Linked DNA regions of Canis lupus familiaris. The protein of the gene in region 5 interacts with the protein of the main gene of each other region in a pairwise test. Links are inferred from orthologs where the notes say so. Each region holds a gene or a part of one and is shown on either strand. Other genes may lie near its edges. The genes, in order: AMOTL2, RAC1, CEP57, GSE1, RALBP1, TSFM and GPS2.

Region 1 (4,123 bases), on a different chromosome or scaffold from region 5:
GTGCAGGACCGTCCCGGAGGAGTCTTCTAGCGTCCTCATGCTTCCTTGCCTTGTACACAGCTGCCTGGACAATGGCCGGTGGCACCTGGCCCCAGGGCACCTGGGAGGAGGGAAAGAAGAGCAATTAGTGGGAGCACAGGGGAAAGAGGGCAGGGGGTGCTTTCCGTTACAGTGTGGTCCAAAGCATAATGGTGAAGAGTAAGGCTATGGGGGCGGGGGGGGGGGAGGTCACACAAGCCTGGGTTCAATTGCCAGTGCTGCCACCTACTGATTAAGGCAAATGACCTAACCCGTGAGCCTCAGTTATTCCATCGGAATAACGCTTGCCTCATGGAGGTGAAAATTAAATAAGGCGATGGCTGCTGAGTGCTGGTGCACTGTAAATCCTTGGCAGAGGGCCACCGTTACAGTCATATTCACGGAGACTTACTAAAGAAAGCCACCAGTAACCTCCAAGGTAATCCATCACCCAGCCTCTGCAGTCAGCTTCCCAGTGAAAAGGCTGAGGAGAGACTCCAGGGCAGGAGTAGTTCAGCTACAACCACTGAGCAGGCCAGTCTAGGGGTAGACAGGGCCCCAGTTCATTGGCAGGTGATAAAGAAGGAGTCCAGCCTAGTAGAAGCCCTAGGCAGACAGCCCCTAGCTCCCTCTAGAATGTAGCATGCCTGAGCCCTAGGCTTGGCACGGGTAACTCACCACCCTCTACCACCTTTACCATGCTGGGCCCTCTCTGTCACGGGATGACCTTGACGGTCACTCTGCAAGGTGAACAGGAAGGACAAAAATGCATCGGGTTTGGCAAATAATAAGGGATCAAAGGAGAAGCTACAACAGGACGATGGTTTTGTGAAATGAGGTGAAAAAGATGCCACCCGTCAAGGTTTGTGGGTCAGTCATAGTCTGTGTGCTGACAGCAACTGCATGGGTGCTCCAGGAAAAACAAAGGGCGGCACCGTGTCTTTGACTTTAGGACTGTCCCTCCTACACACGTACACTTGCTACTTGGAAAAGACCCCGATGGCCCTCTGCCACATAGAGGGTGGGCACTCAGCATTTTGCCATCGGTAACACTTATCTGAGCTAACTGGAGGAGTAGGGGAGCGAGGGAGAAGCTCTTGGTTGCAGGGACCGGAGTCTGGGGCGGGGGTGGGCTGCTGGAAGCTTCAAGAGCAGGGAGTATCTCCTGAGGAAGGTATTGCCCTCTGAGCTTGGGCTCTCAGTGGCTCATGTCCCGAGGCTGCCTGCCTCACCCAGCTTCCTTCCACAGCCTCCTCCCACACAAAACTCCTAACTAGATTCAGGGAAAACCAAACAAAACCCCTATCCCCACAGGTCTTATGTATGGGGGGAGGTCAGTGGGAAGAATGTGGTCCCTTCTCGGCCACAAAACTAGCCCCATTGCCCTGCTGCCTTTAAGGTTTGGTAGGTTGGCAGAGCAGCCAGTGCCAATCTACTCCTCCCTCCAGGCTGCCCAGAAATGAGGAGAGGGAGAGGAGTCTGGAAGGCATCTCTGTGCCCATCCTTCTTGGCACCCAATCGGCCGCCCCCTCTCCCTACACCCCGGAGGCGTGGAGATGCAAGACTCCAGAGTTACCAGAGGCAAAACAAACTGCAATCAATTCGCCCTAGAGTTTCCTCCGCGGGGCATTTCCTAAAGTAATCAGTCTGGGCTGACTCTCCAGCCGAGAATGACGGTGGGGAGCAGGGTGGGGAGAAGGGGGGGGGGGTGGCGTGCAGAGCTTTCGGGACGGGCTCCTCGTGTCCCCCCCGCAGCCGTGAGCCTGGGAGCCGGGAGCACCTCCGGGGCCCCTGTGCCGCGTTTGTCCCCGTCAGACCCCTCAGATGCACATTCTTTCGGCTGAGCCGTTACTAAAATCTGTGACCGCGACCCGGCCATGCACCTTCGCTGCACCGGCGCACCCCGGCTTCCTGAAAACCAGCGCCCCCTCCCCGGTAAGCAAACCACTCCGGCTCGCGCCGGGGCTCGGCCTCGCCTACGGAACCCACGCGAGGGTCTCTAAGGAGGCGTGCACCGCAGCAGGGATGCCGCCCTGCCCGGGCTCCCGGCCGACCGCGAGCACCCGGAGCGCGCGGGGGGGGGGGGGGGGGGCGGGGGCCGGTGGCCCAGCAAGGTCTTTAAGCGTCGCGGGTCCGCCTCCCTCCCGGCCTCCCGAGCCCTCTTTGTTTTCCGAATGCTCCAGCGCTGACGTCACCGGGCTGGCCGGCCGGCCGCATTCTTTCTAAGTGAGAGCCGTTCCGAGGCTCCAGAGAGGATTTTCCAAGGAAGACAAAGAGGAATTCTTGGACGGGTTGGGGGCAAGGACACCTGTGATCTGCCCCCAACCGGATCGGCCCCAGGGCCCGCACCTTGAACCCGCAGCGGCGCCCCTCTGCCCAGCCCACGACCCGAAGCATAAGCCCCCGCTCCCCGCAAAGGCTGCCCCCTCCCCCCGCCCCAGGGGGCCCGCGGGCCGCCCAGAGCTCGGGACGGCCCCGGGCCGCCTCTGCGCTTCCTCGCAAGGGCGCCCCGCACCCGGGGTCGCTCGCCGCGCCGCGCCGGGCTCCGGCTCCCGCTCCCGCTCCCGCTCCCGGGAAGGGCGGGCTGCGCGGGGGCTCCGGCTGCACCGTGGCTCCCGGGCCGCGCTCCCCGAGGCGCCGGGCGGCCGTCCTTACCGCTGCGGCCCGCGGGTGCTCGGCGTGGTCGGCCCGGCGCGGCTCGCCCGGCTCGGTGGCGGCGGCGGTGGCGGTGTGCACTCGGCGGCGGCGCCGACGCTCTGGCCGCCCGGGCCCCGGCGCGCAGCTCCAGGCTCGGCCCGCGCCGGAGGCGGCTGCTATGCCAGGAATGTGAGAGTTTCAGGTTCCCCCTCGGGATCAAAGCGAACCACAAATAACCTCGCAGCGCGCCGCCCTCCTCCGCCCTCCGCCGCCCTCCGCCTCCTCCCCGCCCTCCTCCCGGCCCCCGCCTTCCTCCCGGGAGGCGGTGCCGCGCGCCCCGGAGCTCGGTCCCGGAGCTCGGTCCCCGGGACGCGCGGCGCCTCCCTCCGCGGCCTCCCCACGCCACCGCCGTGGGCCCCCGGGGCTGCTGGGGACGGATTCATGCCCTCGGCCATTGCCACCCCCCCCCCCGACCCGTCCCCACCTCCACCTTGCACCCACTCCTTCAGCCCATCCGCGAAACGACACCCGGAGATGGGCAGTCGCGGGTCCCCAAGGGGTTCTGGGCTTTGCTGCAGGGAGAGGGGCCCCGTGTGTGTGTGTGTGTGTGTGTGTGTGTGTGTGTGTGTGCAAGGGGAGGAGGACTGTCAAGATGTCCACACCCGCCCGGCTTGCTTGGACTCTACCTCGGTCCGGCTCGAGTCTCCGAACCCCCACTGCTCTCACCGCCAGCGGCCACCCTTGAATTGCCCTGTTATTGTTTACAAACACCTTTGCCAGCTCTTTTAGGGCCTGTCTCCACAGGAAGTGTGAATCTGGGTTGAGAATCTTCCGGTTAATTGGAGCCACCGAACTACTTGAATCACCCGCGGGCAGGCGCTCTGTCCAACATTTCTGGAAAAAGGTAGTAATGGGCATCCCCGAATTTACGCAGGGTGCACGGTGTGCCACCACCCGCTCCTCGCCTCGTCATCCCAGGCAGTCCTCCCAAGTCATCCTCCCAGGGAATTCTGTTATCATCCCTGAGTTTAAATGAGGAAACCAAGGCCCAGGGAGGTTAATTAGCTTGCCCCAGGGTCACGCGGAGCAGAAGTGATGAAGCCAAGTAACCGATGGCTGCTCAGTTTTTTCTTTTCTCTTTTTAAATTTCAATTCAATTCAATTTACCAACATATAGTATAGCACTCAGTGCTCATCCCATGCCCTCCTTAGTGCCCATCATCCAGTTACCCGAGCCTCCTCACCCACCTCCCTCTCTGCAACCCTTTGGTTCCCAGAGTTAGGAGTCCCTCATGGTCTCCCTCTCTAACTTTTCCCCACTCAGTTTCCCGCCTCCCTTCCCTTATGGTCCCTTTCACCATTTCTTATATTCCACACATGAGTGAAACCACATGATGATTGTCCTCGGGTTGACTTATTTCACTCAGCAAAACACCCTCCAGTTCCATCCAGTTTTACTTACTTACTT
Region 2 (4,267 bases), on a different chromosome or scaffold from region 5:
TTTAACAATTTTTGAATAAAAGAACATTCCAAGTATATCATCAGGTATGTTTTGTTTGGGTCAAAGCAAAAAAATATTTTTGGTTTGGAAAGTCATGTATGTAACTTTTTCACTGAAGTAATGTTTGCTGTATGTTGTCCCTTATTTAAAGTAATAGAGGGGGCAACTGGCTGGCTCAGTTGGAGGAACGTGCAACTCTTGGATCTCAAGGTCCTGAGGTTGAGTCCCACATTGAGTGTAGAGATTACTTAAATAAATGAATAAATCTTTAAAAAATAAATAAACAGAGCTTGAATTGTTTACTTCTAACAGGGCTTTGCCCCAGTCTACATCAATGTCAAATACAGTACCAAATAAATCGAATGAAAACTTAAAGCCAAGAATTGTTTTATGCTTTGGACCTCCCACACAGGGCCCAACAGTGCCTCAGATTAAGAGAAAGAGCAACACTATATGAGGCTGGCTGCCTGCACTTTCTCACCTGGGGCCAGGCACCTGGGAGGCACTTAGTATTCAGCATCTTGTTTATTTTTTTTTTTAAGATTTATGTATTTATTCATTCATGAGACAGACTGAGAAAGAGAGGCAGAGACACAAGGAGAGGGAGAAGCAGGCTCTCTGCAGGGAGCCTGATCCCCGATCCCAGGATCTCGACCAGAGCTGGAGCCGGGCAGGCACCACTGAAACACCCAGGCGTCCCCCAGCAACTTGTTTAATCCTCGCCACTTCAACTTGAGGTCCCTGTCCTGGGAGAGGAGTGTGAATATGCCCAGGTTCCTCCCTAATCATTGGGAGTGGGGATTCGAAGTAAGGATCCAGATCCCACAACAGGCATTCAACAAGTATGTGACTAGATACACAAGGCAATACAAATCTTCGGGGTCCATCATCTGTAAGCATTAAGTAGGTCTGCTGTGCTTATGTTTAGTTTCAGAAATTTTCAATTAAGAATATTACATTCTAGGGCACCTGGGTGGCTCTGTCAGGTAAGTGTCTGCCTTCCTCTCAGGTCGTGATCCCAGGGTCCTGGGTTCAAGTGGCGCATCCGGCTCCCTGCTTGGCATGGAGCCTGCCTCTCTCTTTCCCTCTCCCTCTGCCACTCCCCCTGCTTGTGCTCTCTCTGTCAAATAAATAAAAATCTTAAAAAAAAAAAAAAAGAATATTACATTCTAAAGTTAGATACTGAATTATCAGCAATTTAAAAAAAACAGCATTATTTCATACTCTAAGCATTACAGATTCAGCATTTTTAAATTTTTAAAGGAAATGCAGTTAAAGTGTTCATAAGACAATGTGATATATGTGTAGTTAACTCATTACACAAAAGGATCAAATTTCATTTAAACCAATGTACTGATTTCCCTATTAAACTAATTAACTGAAGTTTTTGGACCCCAAATGAAAGAAAAGCTTTCTTTTCAAGGGTTTAAAAAACAAAAACAAAAAACATACATATTCCTAAATAGGTGAGAGTCATAATTTTTAGCTATATGCACAGAACCATGAAGTGTTAATAACGTTTCACACGTTGAAGACTGACAAATCACACAGATGGGCATCTTTTAAAAAATTAGTTCAACTGTCCTTACATCTGAAATAGTTGTAGCAACAGTTTCAAAATGTCTAATTTACAACAATCTAAATGAGCTAATTCACAACTTGGGAGGCATAAAAGCCACATCAGTCCTAATGACAAGTTTGGGGAATATTAATCAAAAGGAAGAGCGATGCCAGAACTCTTCCTTCGATTTTACAAGACTTGAAAAATGTACCAATTACACTGAGTTTGATGAAACTGATAGTAATTCTTGGATCTTCGCTGTTAACACTCAACTAACTCGAGCACTGCTGAGATACACAATTTTGCTCGGATTACACTGAGATTTTTGTTTCTATGGGAGGGGAAAAAAAAACTGCATAAGCCAAGTCTTGTCTTCCTCTAGGGCCTTGTAACCACCACAGACAGTAATGAAAAGAAATGCCTTGAGTCACAGGGCAGCTCCGCTCAGGGAGCCTGTTCTGCTACATCCCATACCTAATGCAAGCAGCGAAAGCAAATTTCTTTCTTTCTCTCTTCCTTTTTTTTTTATGACCACACCACATTCAGAGAAAAGATCAGTCTTAATCACACCTAGCTTCTCGTAGCTAGAATCCCAAAAGTTTCTCCAAGGAAAGTACAAGAATTATCACCAAAGGGAGGGAAAAATCTTAAAAGCGGCTAAGTACAAGCGGAAGATACGGGAAATCAGTTTGGGGTCGCCAAACCAGCCCAGGCAAATACTCAAGAACTATCGACCTGGTCGCCGGGACACACGGAAGCTTATAACCGGGCTCCAGAGGCTGATGTAAAAACCCAGAAAGGGTCCTTCCCCGCCCCCCCTTAGAGAAAGAAAGGCAACTCCAAGCCCACCGCTGTAGGGGCGGACGAGCGCGGGTGGCGGCGCGGCTGGGGGGTCCCGCCCCGCGCGCAGCGGGCCCAGAAGGCGGGAGGGTGGAGTTCACTTTTCCCTCCGGCCGCCGCTCGGCGACTCCCTCCCCCATCAGAAAAAAAAGAAAAAAGAAAAAAGGCAAAGAAAAAAAAAAAAAAGAGCCGGAACCAGGCCCCGTGCCTCCCAGTCCCGGAGGGAGTGAGTGGTGGCCCGCGCCCCGCGGAGAGGCCGGCTCCGGGCCCGCGAGAGCCCGCCCGGCCCGGCCCCCAGGCCCCACCCTCGGCCTCGGCCCCCGGCCCCCGGCCCCCGGCCCCCGGCCCCGGCCCGCGCACTCACCCGTCTCCCACCACCACACACTTGATGGCCTGCATCTGGGCCGCTCGCTGGGCCGCGGCGGCGGCGGGCGGGCGCTGACGCGAGAAGCGGCGGGCTCGGGGCGCCGCGGGCGGGCGCGCGGCTGCAGGCGGCAGGGCGCGGGGTGCCGGGGCCGCTGTCCACGCCGCCTCGCCTTCCGCCGACGGAAAGCCGGAGCCCAGCCGCGGCCACCACCCAAAGCTGGGGGAAAACTGCGGAGAAACAGGAAATGGCCGCTCCACTCACATCCGGTCTCCCCTCCCCCGCGCCGGCGCGCCGCTCCCAGGCTCCGGGGCGGGGCCGCTCCTGCCCGCGCGGCTCCCGGGCTTCCTGCCGGGTTCGGGGACGTTCGGGAGCGCTCGGACGCGCTCGGCTGGGGCCCGCTCGGCTCCAGAGGGTGGTAAGAGATGGGGGCGCGGGGGCGGGGGCGGGGGCGGGGGCGGGCCGGCCGCCATGTTTGTGCCACCTGGCGAAGGGCATGAGTCTAGACTTCTGTGAGAACTCTGAGGGGAGGACGAGATTCTGCCAGAAAATTCAGAACCTAAATTTCTAAGGAAGCAAATGCCACACGCTCTACCATTTTCCAAAGATAACTTCTGCTCATTGAGCCAAAAATGTTGAAATTTCTTCCCTTATGTGTGCGTTGTCCGTTTCCGGTGCGTTGAGCGTTTACTAGTTCCACGCCTTATACCAAGTTCTGGAGTTGATGTTACCAGACCATTAAAGTGCCAATATTTTGGTATTTTTTCCTCTGAGTTGTTTTTTGTTTTTAAGTAGGTCCCGTGTCCACTCTGGGGCCTAGACTCATAACCCTGAGGTCAGGAGTCACATGCTCCGCCAACTGAGCCAGCCAGGTGCCCCTCTTGGCTAGTTCTTTATGTGTGTAAAGATATGTTTTAAAGAAGGTTGGAGGGATCCCTGGGTGGCGCAGTGGTTTGGCGCCTGCCTTTGGCCCAGGGCGCGATCCTGGAGACCCGGGATCGAATCCCACGTCGGGCTCCCGGTGCATGGAGCCTGCTTCTCCCTCTGCCTGTGTCTCTGCCTCTCTCTTTCTCTCTCTCTATCATAAATATTTAAAAAAATAAAGTTGGAAAAATACCTAACCCTTAGGACATTTTTAACGGCCAATTACTGTTCACTCCCATTGTGCTCGTGGCCCTCACCCAATGTCTCTGTTATTGAGCGGCTGAGTTGTCCCTGTTTGAGAAACCATGCTGGGCTGGGCGTGTTTGTGACAAAAAATTCACAACTTGATTTCTTTAGACTATACGCCCCAAACTGGAGTTACTGGGGTAGCAGGAGTGAGCGTTTTTTAAAGCTTTGGTATTTATTGTTGCATTGCCCTCCTGCAAGGTAGTAACGGGTTCACGGTCCCATCGGCTCTGAGAATAGACTCTCCAGGGGAGTTGATTTCCAATGACATTTCCATCTCCTAGGCCTTCTTTTCCTGAAATTCACTCTGTTGCTCAGTACTGTAACAGTGT
Region 3 (4,160 bases), on a different chromosome or scaffold from region 5:
AAGCTGGGTTTATGAGTGTTAAATACATATTATTTCTTTTTTTCACATGAAGTGTTTATACAACCCTAAAATCTGAATATGAGTAGCCTCTGAATTTATGCTATAATTTTAAAAGGTATTTTTGTGTTCTCTTATCTTATAATCAACTGTTCATTAAGCCAAAATGCTTTTTACATTTTGTTGGAAACACCAGCCTTATTTCTGACAGGACAGTTAAGGTGTCTAAGCAGGGCTGTTTCTTATACACTAATAATAAAGTACATTCAGTCATTTGTTTTGAAACAGTGACTTCCAAATGAGACATTTTGATGTAGCAAGTCAAATTAAGAAGGTTGTTACACTTTAGATTTCCAAAAGGTACTTGAAAAGTGTATTCCTGGGGAAGCCAAGGTGGCTCAGTGGTTTAGCGCCACCTTTGGCCCAGGGTGTTATCCTGGAGTCCCGGGATCGGGATCGAGACCCACGTAGGGCTGCCTGCATGGAGCCTGCTTCTCCCTCTGCCTGTGTCTCTACCTTTCTCTCTATATCTCTCATGAATAAATAAAATCTTTAAAAAAAAAAAAAGTGTACTCCTGATATTTAGAATCCAATAAATAAAAGCATATATATATGCTTTCCTATTAAACACTATGAAATTTATGCCCAGGCTACCTTAAGAACTAAGGGGTTGACAGCACATCCCAGTACCGCAGCTCAGCTACACAGACTCAAGAGAGTACATACAGCTCAATTAACAGTTTTAGGAGTATTTCTTACTCAGTCTCCAAGTGCTAAGTTTTGAAAGCAGTGAAAAGCCTTCTTCTCACAATTAAATTTAATCACAACTCTTATATAATCCCATCCATCTACTTAGGGACACTTCCTCCTAATAGTTCCTCTTTTTACATTCCCTTTCACTGACCTAATTCCTGAAAGAACTCTAAGTGCTTCATTCATTCTTAATCTTCCCTGACTGCTCTGCAAATTCGGTACTCCCCTTCCGCAGAAACGGAGTTGCTTTTGGCCTTATTATCATAAACCTTAAGTCACAAAAGCTGCAACTGAGGAAAACTGAGGTAACTTTGCTCTCAACGCTCCCTAAACTTCTCCCCCTTAAGCGTCTATGACATAACTCTCATCCTGATAGTTTCCTGTTTTCGTCCGTATCCCTCTTTTCCCCCCAATTTTTACCTACCTCCACAATTCAATTCATCTAACCCAACTCTCCCGCCCCACGACCTCTGTACGCTCCACATTACTTAGTTTCCCGGAAGCTCCCATTGTCCTGGCACCTAACTGAAGTGCCCGCGGGTGCCTTTTCCTCCTTTCCAGTTCTCTGGACTAGCACCGACTGACGATTCCTTCCCCACTCCGCTAGCGAGCTCCATCTTCCCTACTAGGAAACTGTTTCCAGCCAACCCAAGCACCGACCACTCACGCTTAGGTTATACCTGCATGGCAGCATCTATCAAACTGAGCTGTGTAACAGTCTAATGCACATGCAGTTTCTCTTCTGTGTCTGCTCCTTCGGCGCGGGGATTCCAACCCATTCACCTGGGTGACCTTACAGCCCCAAGCACTCCGCTGCAGCTAAGGGAAGACACAATGGCTCTCGCCTGAGCTGCCTCCCATTTTCTGCCTATTCCCGGCGCGGCGGATTCTCAAATTCGAAGCACCGGCAATCCGGTTCGACAGATAATAGGGAGGCAGAACACTACGTAGGATCAGCTCCCCCGCGGCCCCTCTGCAACAGCGCCAGCGCGTACGCGGTGCCGGCCAAGTAACAGCGCAGGTGGAAGCGCGCGCTCCGGGTGACCCGCAGGCACAGTCACGGGAATACGCGGGGGGAGGCGCTGCAGGCAACGGAATCGGCACAGGCCGCAACTAGCAAGCGGTGGAGACCGACGACTGTTCAACAGCCGCCGACGAAGCCGCGTCGTGAGCTACCTGGTCTCGGCGAGTTTCCAGGAGGTGCCGTTCCCCCCACGTGACCAAAGCCGCAAGGTTTCCGCCAGGCCCGGCGGGAGGAGCCTTCCCAGAGAGTCCTGGCAAAGTTTGGCCACCTGGGCAGCCAGAACGGAAGGTGAGGGGAGCAAGGGACGGAACCGACCAGGCCTGCCTCGGCTGGGGGGGGGGGGGGGGTGCAGCCCCGGCCGAGGGGCGGCGGGCGTCAGGGGAGCACGGCGCCCCGTCAGGCACCCCCGGCCGTGCCCCGGACGCGGTGAGACCCCGGGCCCAGAGCGCGCTGAAAGGTGAGGAAAAGCAAGGAGGCGCCAAAACCGAGCCTACTCGAACGTCAGCCGCTTCTTACCGAGAACTGAGACCCTGAAGTCGCAGACACCGATGCTGCCGCCATCTTCCTGCCAGCCCAGAGGGCCTCCGCGGCCCCAAGGGGGTCTGAGTTTTCGAGCTCTTCCTTAAGATTCGAGAGCCGCCCGCCAGGGGCGACCCTAAGCCAACCCCTGATGGAAGGGGCTGGGGTGTTGCTGCGGGGCCTGGAAACCCCTGCACACACCCCCACTGGGCCGCCCACGCTCAGGGGCTGCACGCGGAAAAGGCAACACGCCCTAACGGACGTCTGGAGCAGCCAATCAAAAAAGCGGACGGCTTCCGGTAGCAGCAGAGAGTCCGCCTCTTCCGTCGCCGACGTCACAAGGTAGCGCTTCGCTGAGTCTACGGCGGCGCTCACGCCGCCGGCTCCCGGGCGGCCCCGAGGGAACTCCGCAGGAGGGGCGGGCCGGGCCGAGGAGGTGACGGGCGCCACGGACCGTTGAATAGAATGACTGAAACAATAAAAGCGAGTGTGAAGTCCAAACACGCCATCGGCCCCCTGGGACTAAATGCCGGCGGGCGTGAGCTCGACCCGGACGCCTCTCTAGGTGAAGTACTTAGCTTCTGACCAGTAACAAGTAGTGTCGCAAGGGGCCTTAGTGGTTCGGCCCAACAGAAGTAAGTCAAGGGGGAAGCAGCGTGGGCACGGAGCAAGCCTTGGCGAACACGCGCCCGGCTGGAGCGGGGCGACCGCAGCACAGCCGGGACTGGCCGCTAGCTCCAGGCGCTCCTGGGCCGGTGGGCGGGGCGGGTTTGAAGCGGCCTTGGCGCGCTGAGAGCTCCCGGCCCCCATTGGCCAGCAGCTTCCTCCCTTTGTGGGCGCTTCCAGCGTCGCCGCGGTTAGGGGCTGGGAGGGGCGACCGAGTGACGCAGCAGCCCTCCCAGCCAATCAGAGCCGGGGAAGGAAGGCCGAGAAGGAAGCGGATCCACCGCCGCGCAGCTACCCCGCACCGAGCTATCCTCTTGGTCTCCCTCCGCCGCTCCAGGCGCCGAAGCGGGAGCGGCTGGGACGGCGTCCCTGAGAGGGCCGGGGGCGGAAGTGGAGGCGGAGGGAGACGGTGTAGACCGCAGGGCCCTGGGCTCTCGTGGTGCGGCTCTGGTGGGCGCGAGGCAGGGGAGGGGGAGGAGGAGGAGCTCGCGGCCCGGGCGGCGGCGGCGGCGGCGGCCGAGTTCCCCGTAGGGCCCCGCCTCGGTGCGGGCGGCGGTGGAGGAGGAGACTGAGCAGGATGGCGGCCTCGGCCCTGTACGCCTGCACCAAGTGCACCCAGCGCTATCCCTTCGAGGAGCTCTCCCAGGGCCAGCAGCTCTGCAAGGTCCGTGGGCGCGGGGCGGCGGGCGGGCGGGCGGGCGGGGTCCCCTCGGCCAGCCCGAGGGAGCGCGGTGGCCGCGGCACTGCAGCCCGGCTCCCGTCGCCGGCGCCCTGAGGGCTTGGAGCTCTTTCTGGCCTCCTCTCCCGGGACCCTTTATCTGGGGACGTGGGCATCGGATGGGAAAGGCCCCTGAGAGGAAGACAGAATTCTGCCCTCTTCCAGGCGGCCCAGGAGGGGGCCGGGCCCTACCGACACTCAGGGGTCTCCGGGTGGGGCTGAATGAGGCGGCAGCCACCTGTCTATGCCGCAGAGACCCTGGGGTGGAGATGTTTTCATCTCGGTTTTCTGCCTGGACTGTCCTCTCCTTCCACCGGGAGGCAGGGGACGGTTTTTGCACTTTCTTGCTAGGAACCTGAAGCCGCAAAGCTGATGGCATCCTCCTTCCCTGTCCAGGAAAGCGAAGCGACTGGTTTGGGGACAGAATGCTCTATGATTTGGAGCTCCTCCCATCCCATTAAAGCCGGGATGCTGTCTGTGAGC
Region 4 (3,500 bases), on a different chromosome or scaffold from region 5:
GCATGGAGCATTTCAACAAGTTTCTCTTTGTCTATGAGAAAAGCAGCCTGAGATTAACAACACAGTTGCATCACTGCTGAGAGGGAAGGGGAGCAGGCTTCTAGCCCAAGCCGTCACTGGCAGGTGCAAGTCCTTTAAATCAAGAAGAGCAAAGCAAGGACCAAGGGGAACAGGCTGTGTTTAAAGGAAGAAACTTTCATTTTAGGGTTAGCTCAGATTCTGCTCAGCTTTTGCTACAGAGCATTCTAGATGCATTCCAAAAATAGCTGTGTGCATACATCAAAATAATGGGTTCCCGTGATCTTCAGAGGTGACTTCCGACACTATTCTTATTTAAAAGACTCAGGCACACAAAAGCTCCCAACAAAAGGAACAACCGTGAAGATCCACACAGCACCTCTGGGAGCATGGGCTGCTTCCAGGCACATTCCTCTCCCCTACAGCTCTTGGCACACGTGCACAAGTCCCAGCAAGGCTGCCATCTACTGAAACGGAACCAGACCCCCGTGACGCCCACCACTGTGAGTTCCTGTTGTGGTGGCACTTGTTACCAACTGACACCGAAGTGCCTGCATCACTGGTGGCTTCCTCTAGGAATTAAGTCAGGCAAAAAGATGCTTGTTACAAACAAGATTATGGCTGTTCCCAGGGACAGGTGCCAGTGATCAATGAGTCACTGCCTCTTTAAGAGAATGCGCAGGTTCCAGTTTAAGGTTAAAGGCGAAAAGCACACGGCTACACCCCACTAATGAAGTAAGTGGAAGCAAGTATGTGACCAGTAACACTTCTGCTTTCCTTCTGACTTCCTTCCAGAGAAGTGACAACCTAGGTATCAGCAAGTTGGACTTAGAAGCATGGAAATGAGCATCGAGACAGGTGGAGTTCTCACCTGAACTCACTTCCTGGCACTAAGTGAGGTATGGGCCAGACCAAGGAAGGGGAGGCGAGAATGTGCTCAGACCGCACCACCCCTCCTGTGCTATGGACTCCAGCCTGAAAAGGTGGCCCCAACATGGCCCTTGGTGGCCAGATGGACCTGGAAGCACCTTCCAGGGCAAGCTGTCCCATTCACAGCATATGCTGGCTCTGCCTGGCCACCACAGGCCACCCCGAGCCTCCTGCTGTCAGAACGCAAAGCTCTGTGGGCCACGGCAGCACCTGCCAAGAGTAAACAGCCACTACCTGCAGGATGGTGCACTGCGACCCTGCGCCCAGGAGTCGCCCCACTTGCTGCCTGAAGCACTGGGAGGTCTGACAAGTGACAAGAGCAGCCGTCAAAAGCAGGCTTTACACACAGAACACATGGCACCAAGCCTTCAGTCCTGCACAGGATGTGACAAGAGATATGCCCTCCAAGGAGGGGAATTTGCATTTTGGATGGAGAGAAAGTCGATGCTGGAGCGATACTGGGGTAGGCCCGTGCAAGCAAAGTAGCTGCCTCCTTGGGGGCCAGAGGGAATAGAAAGAGCCCCAGGATGAAGTGGTTTTAGATCCTACCAGGAGTGTGGGCATGGAACATTCCCAGGAGCCCACGGCCCCTGCTTCTCCAGAAGCTTGTGGCCGCAGAGTGACCCGACCCCACGAGGCCCACACTAGGCTGTACCTTTCCTCTTCTCGGCACTGATGTGAGTCAGGTTGAAGATGGTCAGGAACTTCTTCTTCTCTTCGAAGTTTGGGCTGTTGTTCATCTCATCAGGACTGTAGCGGGTGGACAGTGCCAGTCTCGGTGAAGGCGTCTGCCGCTTGTTCTGAATCGTCGGGGGTGACGGGCTTCGCTCCCTCAGCATCCGCCGCCGCTTCCTCCGCTTCTGGGTCAGCAACTCCTCCTTCTGCTGTTGGGTGGTCAAGCCAAAAAGTTGCAAAAACTCTAGCTTCTAGATTGGGAAAGAAAACAAATGAGTTTGAAACCACTGGCAGTGGCATGCTTCCACTGTCCCAGGGGCTCCCTCCTGGGGTCCATGCAGCCCATGAGCTGTGGCCAACTCCACACTGGGCCACAGACGCGGAAGACCCTGACGGCGCTTCCAGACAACCTGCAGTCAATGGGAATGGAGGGGTGCAGGGGTTCCTAGCAAATGAGGGGCTGCCCGGGACAGTGGGAGGGAAGCCAAGAAGCAGAAAGTGATGGGGGCACCAGAGGCCCCACCCACAACCTGTCACACGGGGACGAGATTCCAGATACCTCGGAGGACGTGTCCAGCTTGAGGGGCGGCTGCTCGGCCACGCAGCGGAGGTGGGCCCTGACCTCCTCCTCGTCACTCTCATCGTAAGAGTCGTCCAGGTCGTAGTAGTATCCTGGGGACAAGAAAGGACTGTTGGGCTGGGCAAGGAGCCTCATCCTACAGTGGATGCACACAGGGGGCCCCTCTGTGACACGTACAGAAGCACGCATCAGACCAAGACCTGCAGGCCTCCCTGACCACCCCAAAACCCCAGATTCCTTTTATCCCAGGTGGAAACATGCATTAACCCCTAGTCCTAGGATTTTAGCACTTTATAGGGATGGCTGGTGAGGGGTGAGGGTGGAGACGGCAGGAGGCAGATGCCAGGCTTCCTTTGGACCCCAAGTGATGAGGCTGAGGTGGCCTGAACGGACATGATCTCTCTGCAGGGAATCATTCATCCCACAGGCCTGGGGCCGTGTCCATGGCAACCCAAGGCTGTGTGTGCACATCCACTCCCCTCCTGCTGTGGCCATCTGGGTCCACTACCCAGGAGGGGCCAGGCATACTCAGGTCCCCACCTAAGGCAGAGAATGTGCACAGAAACTCACGTAGAAAGCAGCAGCACCCCTGCACCGAGGGCACTGGATGGGGCACTCCCTCATTCTCCCTCACAAGACAAGTGGCGGAGAAAAATACTTTTGGGGCCTTAAATCTAGCCTAGAGCAAGAACCCTGGGAAGACCTGGCCCTGGTCCCAGCTTCTGGCTAAGAGACTGATTTCAATAGGACTCGTTTCTAGCAGGAAAAAAACAAAAAAAAAAACAAAAAAAAAACTGGTCTGGAGCAACCTCTGACCCCTCCTGGTCAGACAGGGTGTGCAAGTAGGAGACAGCCAAGGGTACCTTGGACCTGCTGGCTGACAGTCCCGCCCCCACCAGCGCCCTTCCCACTGCAGGAGCAGGGAGGGAAGGGGGCCAGATCTGTCCCTGCCCTACCCCCACCGAGGATGGCAACCCCTGAGGAGCCCCCACTGGGCCCAGGCCTGTTCTCTCGACAGCCTCCTCCTCTGTTATGCTGCGCTATTAATATTTAAAATCGTCTTATTAGCCTCTGTTCATTATTTATTAATCATGCGTGTCTGTGGAACTATTCTTCCAGAGAGCTTTGATTTGGCTTTTTGGGACAATTTGCACTGTAGCAGGACCGGCAGGGGCCCCAAGTCTGTCTCCCCAGCAGAGGTTGTCAGGTAGCAACACAGAAGCCAATGAACTTGCTCCCTGAGCCCACAGCAGGAATCAGGAGTGGGAGGAGGGCTGGCACTGCTGCCCCCCGGTCC
Region 5 (3,500 bases):
AACACAGATGTTGCACAGGGCAAGACTTCCATACTACACAATAAAAAAGTCCTACTACTTTGCAAGAAATAAAATCTTTTTCCTTTTACATTTTGCTTGATTCTAGACACCCACATGAGATATTCTTGCCAAATATGAAATTTAAATTTTCACACAAAGGGAACATAAATAAATGGAAAATCAATTTCATTAATCTATGTAATAGCTGCACATGGCTGACAAAAGCATTCACATTTGGGCCTAAACATTTAACAAAGAACATTTCATGTCCCTCAGCTTAACTCAGGAAATACGATTATGCTAATAAAAGTGTCTCTGAAGCGTCCTTTACCCAGATATCTCCTCTCCTTCACAACACAGAGCTCTGCTCAGAGAGGAAAGAGGTGAGAAGAATACAGCACAGTCTGAGCACACCAGAGCGAAGGAACACTACTCCTATGCTTTGCTTATACTCAGCCGGGCGGCTGCAAACTATGAAAGACTCATGCATAAAGCCTCCTAATGGAAGGTAGTATCATCAGAAAAAAGCAAACTATCAAAACACACACAAACACATACACACACGCACGCACGCGTGCAGTGAGGGATTTTTGTTCAACTGCAAGGATCAAGGAAATGAATAAGGCTCAGGACCCATGCTACAATTTTCCTCACAAGCTAATCATTTTCCTTTCTTTAAAAAATGAAGGTGAATTTCTTAAAACCCCCAAGAGAAGCACATGTCCTCAATACCTGAAACTCTGTAGATGCCTTCACACTTCATGCCATACTTCTCCACGTAATCTACACACTCACGGAAAACCGCTGGCAGCCGAATGCCATCGTACAGCATGGTCCTCTCAGCTGCATCAGTCAAAGGGACTCCAAAGATGGGTTTGAGGTTCGGAACATCAATCTGAGGCACCTCTGGCTCCTGGATTGGCTTCTTCTTTTTCTTCTTCTCCTTCCACTGTTTAACAACATCAGCTGCTGTCAAGTCTTTTGACTTCTTCTCTTTATGTTTCTCTTCTTTGTGCTTTTCTTCTTTATGTTTTTCCTCTTTGGGTTTCTCTTTAATTTTAAAATCCTTCTCTTTCTTTTTAGAAAAGCTGGGCTTCTTGAAAACATGAATTCCCTTGGACCTCTTCATTTTGGAAGGACTTTCAGCTTCATCTCCAGAGCTGTCTTCCTGAAAGGCAGCATAGCCTTCAGCTGCCAAAGAAACACAGGAAACAGAAGTCATAGATCTGTTAAATGTCAAACCATGCCTAAACTCTCTAAAAACAGGACCAAAAAAACAGCGCTACCTGGCACTGGCTACCTTGCTTTTCATTTTCACTTCATGGTCAATCCCTCCTGGGTACTCCCAGTAAAGGAACAGGTTTCTTCTCAGGTAAAATGAGATGTGGCAGTGACATCTCCTGGCCACAAGAGGGGAAATGCAGAGTGCCAGTTACCATCACAACTGGTTTTAGGTGGAAGTTTGGCAAACCAAATACTATGAATACACAACAAAGGATCTACAGAGAGAGGGCTAAGTAAGAGTCCTATAATATAGAGCGTTCTTTCTGGAAACTGCAGCAGGGACTGAAGCTTCATTTGGGTGGAAGACAGAACCAGGAAATTTCCGAATCTCTGGATGGTGGCCAAATGCACCGGCCCACTTATGCATCATGAGCCTTGGTGTACACATACCGACACTTGTTTTATATCATATTAGAGCTATCCTAGCTTGCTTCTGTTATCTCAAAATATAATTCTCCTATTCTTTTCTTTAGCCAGCTACCTTGCAAGCTATTTCATAACAAAGATTAAAAATATTTCACAAATTACCTTCCATTTAAAATACCACAAACTCCACACTAACCAGAAGGGCAGAAACCTTAAGGGCATTATACCATGATCTAAAACAAATGCGGTTCTCAGACACTGCTGGTGTGAGTGTAAACCACTCTGGAAAATTGTTTTTGCAGGATCTATGAGACTAATGCTAAGATGAGTATGGCCTATAATACAGCAATTCCACATCCAGGCATATACACAACAGAAATATGTATAAACACCTACAATGACACTCACAGAAGCCCTATTCATAACAGTCAAAAATGAAAAACAACCCAAAAGACCAAGAATAGCAAAAAATTCTAGTATATTAATGAAATGAAACAAAATCCAGCAATAAAAATGAACACATTACTGCCACATAGAATAACATGGATGAATCTAATGAATACAACTTTGGGCAAAAGAAACTAGATGCAAAAGGAAATCTGGTATCAGTTAGATAAATTCAAAATCAGGGAGTTTCAAGCTATATTGAAAGCAGTTTACCTTTGGGAAGGGTGGAAGATTCCCTTTGAAGGGATAATGGAAAGGAATTTCTAAGCTGCTGATAATGCTCTATTCCCAGAGGCTTATAATTTAAGGACATACACCCTTTTTGTAATAACTCATTCAAGTTATATACAATTTGTGCATTCTTAGTGCTATGCTTCAAAAAACAAATTAACTTAAAAATACCATAAAACTCCAAATAAAGCAATACTTAAAATAACTCACCTGATCTGCTTTTAACATACTAAGGTGCTATGCTTAAAAAATTCATCTTTCCAAATTAAAAAATAAAAAATATATAAATAAAATAAATTAAATTTAATTTAAAAAAATTCATCTTTCCTACTGAATAGGAACTATAAATAGAATGCATTATAGCATTTGCTTAAGACAAACAAATAACTACTTTTTTTTTTTTACAGTTCCAATAAAGTATAGTACTGCAACTGGCTTACACAACCTAGCCAAGAAAGTAATATTCTATATAAGGGTGAAACTCCAGTATCTACTTTTTATGCATTATTTAAAATAATCAATATAAGAAACTTTCATCATAAAACTTTACCATTTCTGGAAATTTGGTATTTTTATTTGCAAGAGTAAGACCCTAAAATACAGCTCTACTAAACAAAAATTGAGATCCAGAAAAGAACAGACAATGTCAAACAAGAGTCTTTGAACATTGTCTCAGAAAATAGCAGGTGCATGTAATTTGAGTAAAAGTTTATCTGAAATATATCAAAAGCACATATAAAAATGGCACTTACTCCTTTTTTCTTTTTTCTTAAATTTTCCTTTTTTCTTCCCATGGTCTTTCTCATCATCAGATACTATGTCAGGAGGTTCATGGAGGCTGTCATGGGGAGGCGAGGGCTCGCCGGTGCGGTACAATCCAGGAAACTTAGTAGGGCTGATCTCCTCAGAGCTGGGGGTTCGGGTAAGACCACTGCCATGCTCCACCCTGCGGTGTTCACTGGGGCTGCTGGTGGGGGGCAGGAAGCACTCAGTCATTCTGCCTCCCTGATGAGACAGTGAAGAGGGTTTCTCTGTTACCTATCCATTACACCTGCACATAGGAAAAAAAGGTCATCAACACCAGTCAAAATACAAAAGCACCTCCCCACACACAAAACATAGTGAGTACTCTTGCATTTACAAATCAAAAATATTTTTCTTCATGACCCCTC
Region 6 (4,023 bases), on a different chromosome or scaffold from region 5:
CAGGGCGACTTGCTGGACCAACTGTTGAAATTTTAAATTTCTGGAAACAAAATCTGTCTCACAGTTTACCTGGCGGGAACAAATTGATGTTGCTGTATAAGCTGCTTCTGGACAGTTTGCAAAAGTGCCTTAAAATCAGAGTAAACCGAGGTATTACAGAAGAAGCTTCAGACTCAACAAAACAGACATAAATGACCCTCGAATTTTAAGGCTGCAGTTCCTCTCCTAGCTTGAGGCCAGAAACTCAATGGGGTGATTCCTGCTGTGCCAATGAGTTAGCAACTGACCCCCATATTCAAAAGATGGTTCCCTAATGTCCCATGGAGCCATTACACCTTTACCACTTGCCCGTAGCTGTGGGCCATCACTACCTCGTTCTCCGGACTCCTCCAACACCAAACCACTTTTGCAGTCAGCCTGCTTATCTCCCTTTCTCACTCTATACTAACCCACATCTGATTCTTCAGCAATTGAGGCCCCTACACCTCCTCTAAAACAGCTACACACTATCCATCGACTAATTAATAGAATTCCTACCTTTAAAATCTAACTGTTCCAGGAAACAATCAGTGACGAGGTATAAGGCTGCAGGAGACTCCCACTGAGAAGTACAGGTTTGCCCCACTATCTGAACGTACGGTGTTCCTATGAAACCTTTTGTAAGCCAAAATGGCATAAAGTGAAAAATCAATTACCATTAACTTATATGGAAATGGATGTACAAAACAAATTGATGTACTAAATAAATCAACGGAAAGCACAGATGCTCACAAAGTTCAAAGCTATGGCGGCTTGATGCTGAGATGCGGAGAGTAGTTGGGGGGGGCAACTCCTGCTGCGAGGGTGCCCCCTGCCTCTACAATGAATCAGTGCAAAACCAACACTAACTGCTATTTTCACTTTTTGCCTTTTTTTTTCATAAAAGTGAAAAGTACTCTTTGGATTTAACAAAAAACAAAAACAGGCGTATGATTGTAGGTCTTTTGTAAAAGCAAAGTGCGTAACATGAACTTTTGAAACGTGGGGGTATCTGTAACATTTCTGACTTTCTAGGCCTTTAACAGCCAACACACCCAGCCACTCCTATACTTAAGTGAGCTCACAATAACCGTGGTCTCACCAGTTTTCTCCCAACAACCGTGTGCACTTCGCAAACACCTCTTCTTTAAGGCTACGAAGGGTCTAGCACACAGCTCTCCACCCAAAGGGCAGCTGATTTATCTGGAATCCTGACAGCTCACCTCTACCAACACGGTTGCGTTTCCATCCTGAAGCAGCCCAATCAGGCCTTCTTTAGTCTTCCTGCCGTGGAGTTTGGCAGCTCTGCTCCAGCCTTCCTTCTGGGCCTGCTTGTGCAGCCAGCTCTCTGCCTATAAATTGAAAACAGGGCAGATGACAAACTCACAGAATTTAGAACTGAATGGGGTTCTAAAATATGTTCAGGTTCCCTAATTCTGTTTCTCGTCAATCCTATAACGGAAACTAAAGCAGTCTATCGTTTACTGGCAGCCTACCACTGAACGCCAAATACCAGGCATTGTGCCTGATGCTTCGGATAAATTTAATCTTCACAACAACCCTATGGAGCAGACAGCAGTATTTTTTTTTTTATTATGTACAGACAAGAACAACGTGACTCTGAAAGATCAAAGTGTCCAAGATCACAGGGTTAGTGTGAGAGCACCACAGTGTGAGTCCTGGTGCGTGAGGCTCCCAAGGTTCACACAAGGCCTTGGGCTCCAAGCACCAGCAAACAGCAGAGCAGTGGTTTTTGGAAGAGTGTTACCCACGGGATCCTGGTCAACTGCTTCGGAGTCAAAGGGTGAGGTCGGCACTTACGTGTGCATCCTACCCCGAGGGGCGCCTGGGTGGCCGAGCCTTGGGCTCAGGCCTTGGGCTCAGGCCGGGATCCTGGGGTCTGTCAGCCATTGGGGCCAGCGGGGAGCCTGCCTCTCTCTCTGGGTCTCTCATGAATGAATAAATAAAAATCTTTAAAAATAGGGGCAGCCCGGGTGGCTCAGCAGTTTAGCGCCGGCTTCGGCCCAGGGCGCGACCCTGGAGACCCGGGACCGAGTCCCACGTCGGGCTCCCTGCGTGGAGCCTGCTTCTCCCTCTGCGTCTCTCCTGAATAGATAAAATCTTAAAAAAAAAAAAAAAAAAAAAAAGGATGCTGCCCAGGGTTCTGGGTTAGGGTCCCTGGGCAGCACGTCCCCGCCCCTGAGGTCGCCCCGGCCCCCGCCCCCCACCTGCTTGAGATCCCCGCCGCAGGCCTCCAGAGCCTTCTTGCAGTTTACAAAGGAGTAGCCTGTTCTTCGCCGCAGCTTCACGAGGGCGTCCTTGCTCGGGGCCGACGACCACAGCCATGGACCCGCGTGGAAGGGGCGCGGCCGAGGCGGCGGCGGGGGGGGCCCGGCCTGCGGGGGAGGAGGAAACGCCTGAGCCGCCGGCGCCGCGGGGAGCGGGATGGGGGGAGCCCCGGGGGGGGGGGAGAGGGGGACGGAGAGGGATGGGGCGGGAACGGGGGAGGGGGGGATGGGGGGAAGGCCGGGCGCCGCGGGAAGCCCGGGCGGGGCAGCGCGCAGGGAGGCCGCCCTAGGAGACCCGGGGCTCCCGGGGCGGGGGGGATGGGGAGGGAGGAGGGGACGGGGGCTGCGTCCCGAGCGCACCGGGAAGTCCCAGGACGAAGGCGCGGGGCCGGGGCCCAGGCCCCTCACCGAGCAGCCCCGCGCGGCCGCGAAGAGGCGCCAGGGCCGCAGGAGCGACATGTCCGCGGCCCGCGCGCGAGGACACCGGCTACGGCGCGGCGGCGGGGCCAGAGCTCCGGCGCCAGCGCCAGGCGCGGACGGCGCCACCTGCCGGCCGGGCGGGCACACGCACCGCCCCGCCGCCCGCCCCGCCCCGCCGCCACCGCCCCGCCCCGCCCCGCCCGCAGGTGAATAACGGAGGCCACGGGGCACGGGGGTCGCGAAATAACGCTCCGAGGCACGCGGACACACTTCACGTTCCTTTATTTCCAGTCCTGTTTCACAGTCGTCATCCATTTGGGACTCTCGGCGGCCCCGGCGGGTGGGCGGGTGGGTTCAGGAATGTGGCCAAAGGCCGCGGGGCAGGCAGGGGGGGGGGGGGGGGAGCCCTTTCACCAGACCCCGGGGCTAGTCGCTGACCAAGCAAAGTATGGGTGGCACGTCGACCCGCTGTAGGCCTCAGAGCACTAGGAAGGCGTGAGCCACACCCCTGCCCTTCCCGGTAGTCTAGGGGTGAGAAGTAGGGGACAGACCGGTACCATGCAAGCCGAGTAAGGCCCTAAGATGACCAGTGAAAGGGTCTCCAGGGAGAGAGAAATCACATCCAAACAGGAGGCTCAGGGATCCCTGGGTGGCGCAGCGGTTTGGCGCCTGCCTCTGGCCCAGGGCGCGATCCTGGAGACCCGGGATCGAATCCCACGTCTGGCTCCCGGTGCATGGAGCCTGCTTCTCCCTCTGCCTGTGTCTCTGCCTCTCTCTCTCTCTGTGACTATCATAAATAAAAAAAAAAAAAAAAAAAAAAAAAAACAGGAGGCTCCGTAAAAGCTTTCTTCAGGAAAGCGGCTAAGAGTAATAAAGATTTTGAGAGGTAGAAAGAGCTCTTCCAGGCAGGGAATCATCAAAAAGAATGAAGAAAACAGGGCAATTTGGGTGTGGAAATAGGGAACAAAGAGTAGACATTTGGAATTTGTCCAGAGGTTGCAATACATGTAGGAAACCAGTTGAAAATGAAATAGAAGGGTCATTTGGGATCACATGGGATAGACTGAGTACCAAGCCAAGGAGCTTTACTCTTGCAGTAGGCAACAGAAGCTGGTCAGAGCTGATTTTGGAAGATCAAAAGAGTTTGATAAATGGCTTAAAGGAGAGAGAATGGAGGCCAGGAGTCCAGAGGAAGAGATATGTGGCCCAAGGAGTAAAGAGAGCCCCAAGCCCTACAGTGGGAAGAGAAAAGAGGTGAAAGACAAAACACTAGTAAGGAAGGACCAACAGGGCCTGG
Region 7 (4,013 bases), on a different chromosome or scaffold from region 5:
CTGTTAGTTGCCTGTCACTCCTCACCCTCCACACAGCCCTGGCCCAGCCCGGGAGGGAGGTGATGCACACAGCAGCAGAGGGGCAGAGGCAGGTAAATTTTATTAGACTGGGACACCAAGTTCCCTCACCCACGTCAGGGGCTGTGGCTGAGGCTGAAGATAAAATCTGATGATCACTTGTGGTAGAATCGTGGATTCTGGCTGTGCTGGATGAAGGGGAGACGAGGGCCAGGCTGGCTGGTGGCTGCGAAGCCCGACTGGTGGCAGAAGTGGGGGGACTTCGTTGGTGTGTACCCTGCCCCTCAATCTACACCCGAACTCCCAGCCATCCCCACCCCAGGAGGAAATGGGAGAGGAGGGGTGGGCGCCGCCTCTCCTACACAATCTGGTTTTCCCCCTGGAAGGGTAGGGCCCCAGCCGGGTCCGACCCCTGGCCTTACCTTTCCTGCTGGCTGCATCTGCACCGGGAGCTGAGGAGAGGCGAGGAGCCCAGGGGCTGGATGCAGAGCCTGTGGGTGCATGGGGCGCAGGGAGGACTACGGAGAAGAGAGTCAGGGTCCGAGGCGGCCTGGGGCACCCCTGGGCCCAGCACTGCCCCTGCCCTGCCCAGGCTCTGTACTCACAGAGTCTGAGAAGCTGGTCTGCTGGTTAGCGTGCTCCATCTGCTTCTGTAAGGACAGGGCACCGCCAGGCTGGAGGAAGCCTACAAAGGGAAGGATGGGTGTGTGGAACGCGGAGGCGGGGAGGACGCTCAGCCCTGGGGCCCTGGCGGGGGCATCCTCACCTGTCTGGGTGGGCTGAAAGTGGCCGTGCACCGTGTAGGGCTGTGGCTGCGGCTGCGACAGGTACTGCACTGCTGGGAACGCCGAAGGTGCTGAGGGAGGCAGGAGGCACAGCCTGTCGAGCCTCCTTCGGGCCTGCCTGGGACCAGCGGCCTCTGGGTCTTGGAGGAAGCGCCCCCCTCCCAACCCACGGCTCACCTCTGAGCTGCTGACTGGGGCTATAGGCCGGCTGCGTGGGTCCGTAGTGAGGCGGGGGCTGCGCGGTCCCATAGGCACTGCCGGGGCTGCCTTGGAACTGGCCATGCTCCGGGGTCCCGGGGAAGGCAGCTGCAGAGCCCACATAGTGTCGCGTCTGAGGAAGGAAGAGGAGCGCTGGCTGCTGCTGGAAACTCCTCCAAAGCAGAACCCCAAGCGCCTTGTATGTGCCCAATTTTCCACCATTTGGTCAAGTGCTGGACAACATTGGTGACTTGAATACTTGTTTAATGCGGGTGCCCGTGTCTGCATGGAAATGGCGGGCTACACACCCAATGCTACTCCTTACTGTAAGCACTTGGGGTCCGAACATCTGTTTGGCCCTGTCAGCCGCCATGAGGGTGCCTGGGCGGTTGTGTCCTCCAGGGCTCCCTAGACAGGGAGACGGGCTTCATGAGGCTGCAGTGGGGTGGCTGCAACCCCCGGGAGGGTGCATTCTAACAAGCGGGTTCTTCATTCCTCACCCTGCATGCTGAGGAGGTGAGTCCCAGTGTGGACGGTCAGGCTCTGCTGGTACGCAGCTGAAGTCAAAGTGGTCAGGTCACTGCAGTGAAAGGCAGGCAGGTCAAAACCAAGAATGAAGACAAGTGCCCCCTCTTTTGCCATCAGACACCCATCTGGTGTTACCCATCCCAGTTACTGTCTCAATTTTATTTTTAGCTCTCCAATCCCACCTCTGCTCCTTTCGCCTCCGTTTCTCTTCTTCATGTAAAACTTTCTTGAGCTGCAGGAAGAGCTGGTGCTTCTCTTCCTGAAGGGCCAACAGCTTCTCCTGCAACTTCAGGATCTGAGAAGGCAGGGGAGAGGAGCTGACGGCAGGAGAGCCAAAGGAGGAAAAAGCTGGGACAGAGCAGGGGGCTGCTTACTTGTTCCTTGGTCTCCTCTAGTGACATTCTCTCCTCCATCTCCTTTTTCTTCCTCCTCTCTTGCTCTTCCTTCATCTTCTGTTCCATCATCTTGTCTACCTCTTCTTCCTCTGGAGAAAGAACCAGGTGCAATGGGAAGAACGCAGGGTGGTTAAAACACTAGGACGTTAGAGATGGAGAAGCGGGGAAACCTGCCGGTGCCAGTGCTCCCTCTGCTCCTCTCCTCCCAGGGGACTGGGAGGGAGGGTATGTCAGGTGCTCTCCAAGGTCCTTCCCGGCCCGAGTCTTCTGGAGCCCGGACCCGGCCTGCAGCTCCCTCCACCAGTGGCGGGCCGTCCCACCCTCCTCCCGCGCGGCCGCGGCGCGGCGCTGTGCCCATGGTGCGGGGCTTGGGGGTCCTCCCCCTCGGCCGGGCTCACCCTGCCGCTTGCGCTCCCGCTCCATCATGATGTGCCGGTGCAACGCCCGGGCCATGGCGTTGGAAAGCTTGGGGCGCTCCAGGAGCGCGGGCATGGTGCCACGGGGGACGCTCGGGCCGTGGGCGCCCGGCTCTGTCACGGACTGCCAGACCTTGGGCCGGGCCTGCCGAGAAGCGGGCGCTTAGGAGGGTCGCGCCCGCGGGCCGAGGCGGAAGCCCGCCTGCCGCCGCCGCCCCGGTCACGTGCCCGGCGCCCACCCTCCGCCGCCCGGCCGGTCCCGGGTGCTCCGGGTGCCCCTGTGCTCCGCGTGCGCCGGCGGGCTGGGGTCTCCGGCCTCGGCGCCGCCCGCCCCTCCCTACCCGCCTTCGCTGCGCTTTCTCCGCGGCTCCTGTGCGCCTCGGCCGCGCGTCACATCCGGCTGCCGGGCCGAGTCCTTCCGGAGCCGGGGCGGCCGGCGGCCTCGCGGGACGGGCGCAGGGAAGGGCGGAAGCGGCTGCGACGGGTGCCGCGGGGGGCCAAACTCCGTCGGCGCGCCGGGCGCCCCCAGCTGGGCAGCCCTGGGGCTCGTCGGGGGGCGGTGCGAGAGGGGGATGAATGAGAAAGAGGCCGAGGCGCGCGCTCTGGGACAGCGTTTATTGGCTCCTTGGAAACCCGCGTCCGTAACAACTGTACAGAGGCCCACCTTCCCCGCGCCCGCCCCCACTCCGCCCGGCGGCCCGGGGAGGCTCCTCGGGATTCACAGTAACAGGAACGAAAACGGAAATAAATTAAGTGATCCGGGGGAGGGAGTCCAGGGAGTCGTGTTCCCCGAGTCAGTGCATGAGGGGAGACTGCCGGCCCCGAGTGGGAGGCGTGGGCCCTGCACGCGGAGATGCGTTCCTGCTCCAGAGATGCGTCGGGCTCTGGGGGCTCCGGGGGCTCGGGGAGCACCCGCCGCGGCAGGGGATGCTAAGCCAGGGCCGGGGGGGCCCCACTGTGCTTGTCGTCCAGAGGCCAGCCCTCACTCCACCCGCACCAGCAGGGCATAGAGGAGTGTGGCCCCCTTCTCCTTGGTTATCCACTCGAGTTCTGCGGGGCTGAAGTGAGGGTCGGGAGGTTCTCGGAGGGTGGCCGAAGGGGGTCCGGGGGTGTAGGAGCCCGGGCGCACGCACACCTGGAACGCCACCTGGGCCTGGTGCGTTCGCTGGGACTTGGGATCCCGGAATCTGCAGGGCAAGAAGAAGGCCAGCCGTGAGGCCTCCAGGCTCCTCCCTCGGCTGCCTGCGGGGGGGGGGGGAGGGGGGGGGTCACTCCCACCTCCCAGAGAGAGGTGGCTTGGCTCTGGCCGCACCCCTGCTTGCTGGGGTCTCTCCAGGGCGCTCCCTGGCTTCCCTCTGCAGGCCTCTGCCCAAACCTAACCTTCGTCGCCATGTCTACCCTGACTACTGTGTGCCTGTACCTGTGCAAAGCACACCTGGGACCCACTGCGTCCCACTCTACTTTTATTTCCACAGTACTAGTCACCTTCAACAGTAAATGTGCTAGAGTGAGACAAGACCCAAGTGTCACAGCGGGGACACCAATGGGAAGCCATGGAGACCCCAGTCCCAGCCCCCATGTACTCACTGCACTTTGGACGCTAGGGTCTCGGCCCCAGCATACTGGAGGGAGGGGGACAGCAAGACGGAAGGGGGCTGCTCCTCCCGGGGTGG

The links.
Region 1: the proteins of RALBP1 (region 5) and AMOTL2 interact in binary tests that used the Homo sapiens proteins (3 or more experiments, as listed by UniProt). The two-hybrid records come from large-scale screens. The link is inferred for Canis lupus familiaris from reciprocal best matches to the Homo sapiens genes RALBP1 and AMOTL2.
Region 2: the proteins of RALBP1 (region 5) and RAC1 interact in a two-hybrid assay, tested with the Homo sapiens proteins (2 studies listed by BioGRID, with this or other methods). The link is inferred for Canis lupus familiaris from reciprocal best matches to the Homo sapiens genes RALBP1 and RAC1.
Region 3: the proteins of RALBP1 (region 5) and CEP57 interact in binary tests that used the Homo sapiens proteins (3 or more experiments, as listed by UniProt). The two-hybrid records come from large-scale screens. The link is inferred for Canis lupus familiaris from reciprocal best matches to the Homo sapiens genes RALBP1 and CEP57.
Region 4: the proteins of RALBP1 (region 5) and GSE1 interact in binary tests that used the Homo sapiens proteins (3 or more experiments, as listed by UniProt). The link is inferred for Canis lupus familiaris from reciprocal best matches to the Homo sapiens genes RALBP1 and GSE1.
Region 6: the proteins of RALBP1 (region 5) and TSFM interact in binary tests that used the Homo sapiens proteins (3 or more experiments, as listed by UniProt). The two-hybrid records come from large-scale screens. The link is inferred for Canis lupus familiaris from reciprocal best matches to the Homo sapiens genes RALBP1 and TSFM.
Region 7: the proteins of RALBP1 (region 5) and GPS2 interact in binary tests that used the Homo sapiens proteins (3 or more experiments, as listed by UniProt). The two-hybrid records come from large-scale screens. The link is inferred for Canis lupus familiaris from reciprocal best matches to the Homo sapiens genes RALBP1 and GPS2.

The regions. Positions count from the first base shown.
Region 1 is NC_049244.1:31,681,486-31,685,608, forward strand, and holds the start of AMOTL2 (angiomotin-like protein 2), read right to left. Parts: upstream 2,801-4,123; 5' UTR 2,674-2,800; intron 101-2,673; 5' UTR 40-100; coding exon 1-39. UniProt on the Homo sapiens protein: Regulates the translocation of phosphorylated SRC to peripheral cell-matrix adhesion sites. Required for proper architecture of actin filaments.
Region 2 is NC_049227.1:11,815,608-11,819,874, reverse strand, and holds the start of RAC1 (ras-related C3 botulinum toxin substrate 1 precursor), read right to left. Parts: upstream 2,801-4,267; coding exon 2,766-2,800; intron 1-2,765. UniProt on the Homo sapiens protein: Plasma membrane-associated small GTPase which cycles between active GTP-bound and inactive GDP-bound states.
Region 3 is NC_049242.1:5,436,877-5,441,036, forward strand, and holds the start of CEP57 (centrosomal protein of 57 kDa), read right to left. Parts: upstream 2,801-4,160; 5' UTR 2,336-2,800; coding exon 2,291-2,335; exon of another isoform or gene 2,126-2,290; intron 2,063-2,125; exon of another isoform or gene 1,718-2,062; intron 1,624-1,717; exon of another isoform or gene 1,437-1,623; coding exon of another isoform or gene 1,431-1,436; intron 1-1,430. Other genes in the region: protein FAM76B, read left to right, coding at 3,537-3,623, 4,029-4,154. UniProt on the Homo sapiens protein: Centrosomal protein which may be required for microtubule attachment to centrosomes. May act by forming ring-like structures around microtubules. Mediates nuclear translocation and mitogenic activity of the internalized growth factor FGF2, but that of FGF1.
Region 4 is NC_049226.1:67,508,070-67,511,569, forward strand, and holds part of GSE1 (genetic suppressor element 1), read right to left. Parts: intron 3,271-3,500; exon of another isoform or gene 2,296-3,270; coding exon 2,183-2,295; exon of another isoform or gene 1,875-2,182; coding exon 1,604-1,874; exon of another isoform or gene 32-1,603; coding exon 1-31.
Region 5 is NC_049228.1:75,572,877-75,576,376, reverse strand, and holds part of RALBP1 (ralA-binding protein 1), read right to left. Parts: intron 3,380-3,500; 5' UTR 3,325-3,379; coding exon 3,081-3,324; intron 1,192-3,080; coding exon 733-1,191; intron 1-732. UniProt on the Homo sapiens protein: Multifunctional protein that functions as a downstream effector of RALA and RALB. As a GTPase-activating protein/GAP can inactivate CDC42 and RAC1 by stimulating their GTPase activity.
Region 6 is NC_049231.1:2,195,935-2,199,957, reverse strand, and holds the start of TSFM (elongation factor Ts, mitochondrial), read right to left. Parts: upstream 2,801-4,023; 5' UTR 2,766-2,800; coding exon 2,667-2,765; intron 2,415-2,666; coding exon 2,247-2,414; intron 1,371-2,246; coding exon 1,242-1,370; intron 70-1,241; coding exon 1-69. UniProt on the Homo sapiens protein: Associates with the EF-Tu.GDP complex and induces the exchange of GDP to GTP. It remains bound to the aminoacyl-tRNA.EF-Tu.GTP complex up to the GTP hydrolysis stage on the ribosome.
Region 7 is NC_049226.1:32,479,419-32,483,431, forward strand, and holds GPS2 (G protein pathway suppressor 2), read right to left. Parts: upstream 2,801-4,013; 5' UTR 2,682-2,800; intron 2,486-2,681; 5' UTR 2,417-2,485; coding exon 2,323-2,416; intron 2,014-2,322; coding exon 1,904-2,013; intron 1,825-1,903; coding exon 1,712-1,824; intron 1,582-1,711; coding exon 1,502-1,581; intron 1,410-1,501; coding exon 1,327-1,409; intron 1,135-1,326; coding exon 981-1,134; intron 875-980; coding exon 785-874; intron 704-784; coding exon 624-703; intron 537-623; coding exon 441-536; intron 258-440; coding exon 174-257; 3' UTR 82-173; downstream 1-81. Other genes in the region: NEURL4 (neuralized-like protein 4), read right to left, coding at 3,323-3,527, 3,928-4,013. UniProt on the Homo sapiens protein: Key regulator of inflammation, lipid metabolism and mitochondrion homeostasis that acts by inhibiting the activity of the ubiquitin-conjugating enzyme UBE2N/Ubc13, thereby inhibiting 'Lys-63'-linked ubiquitination.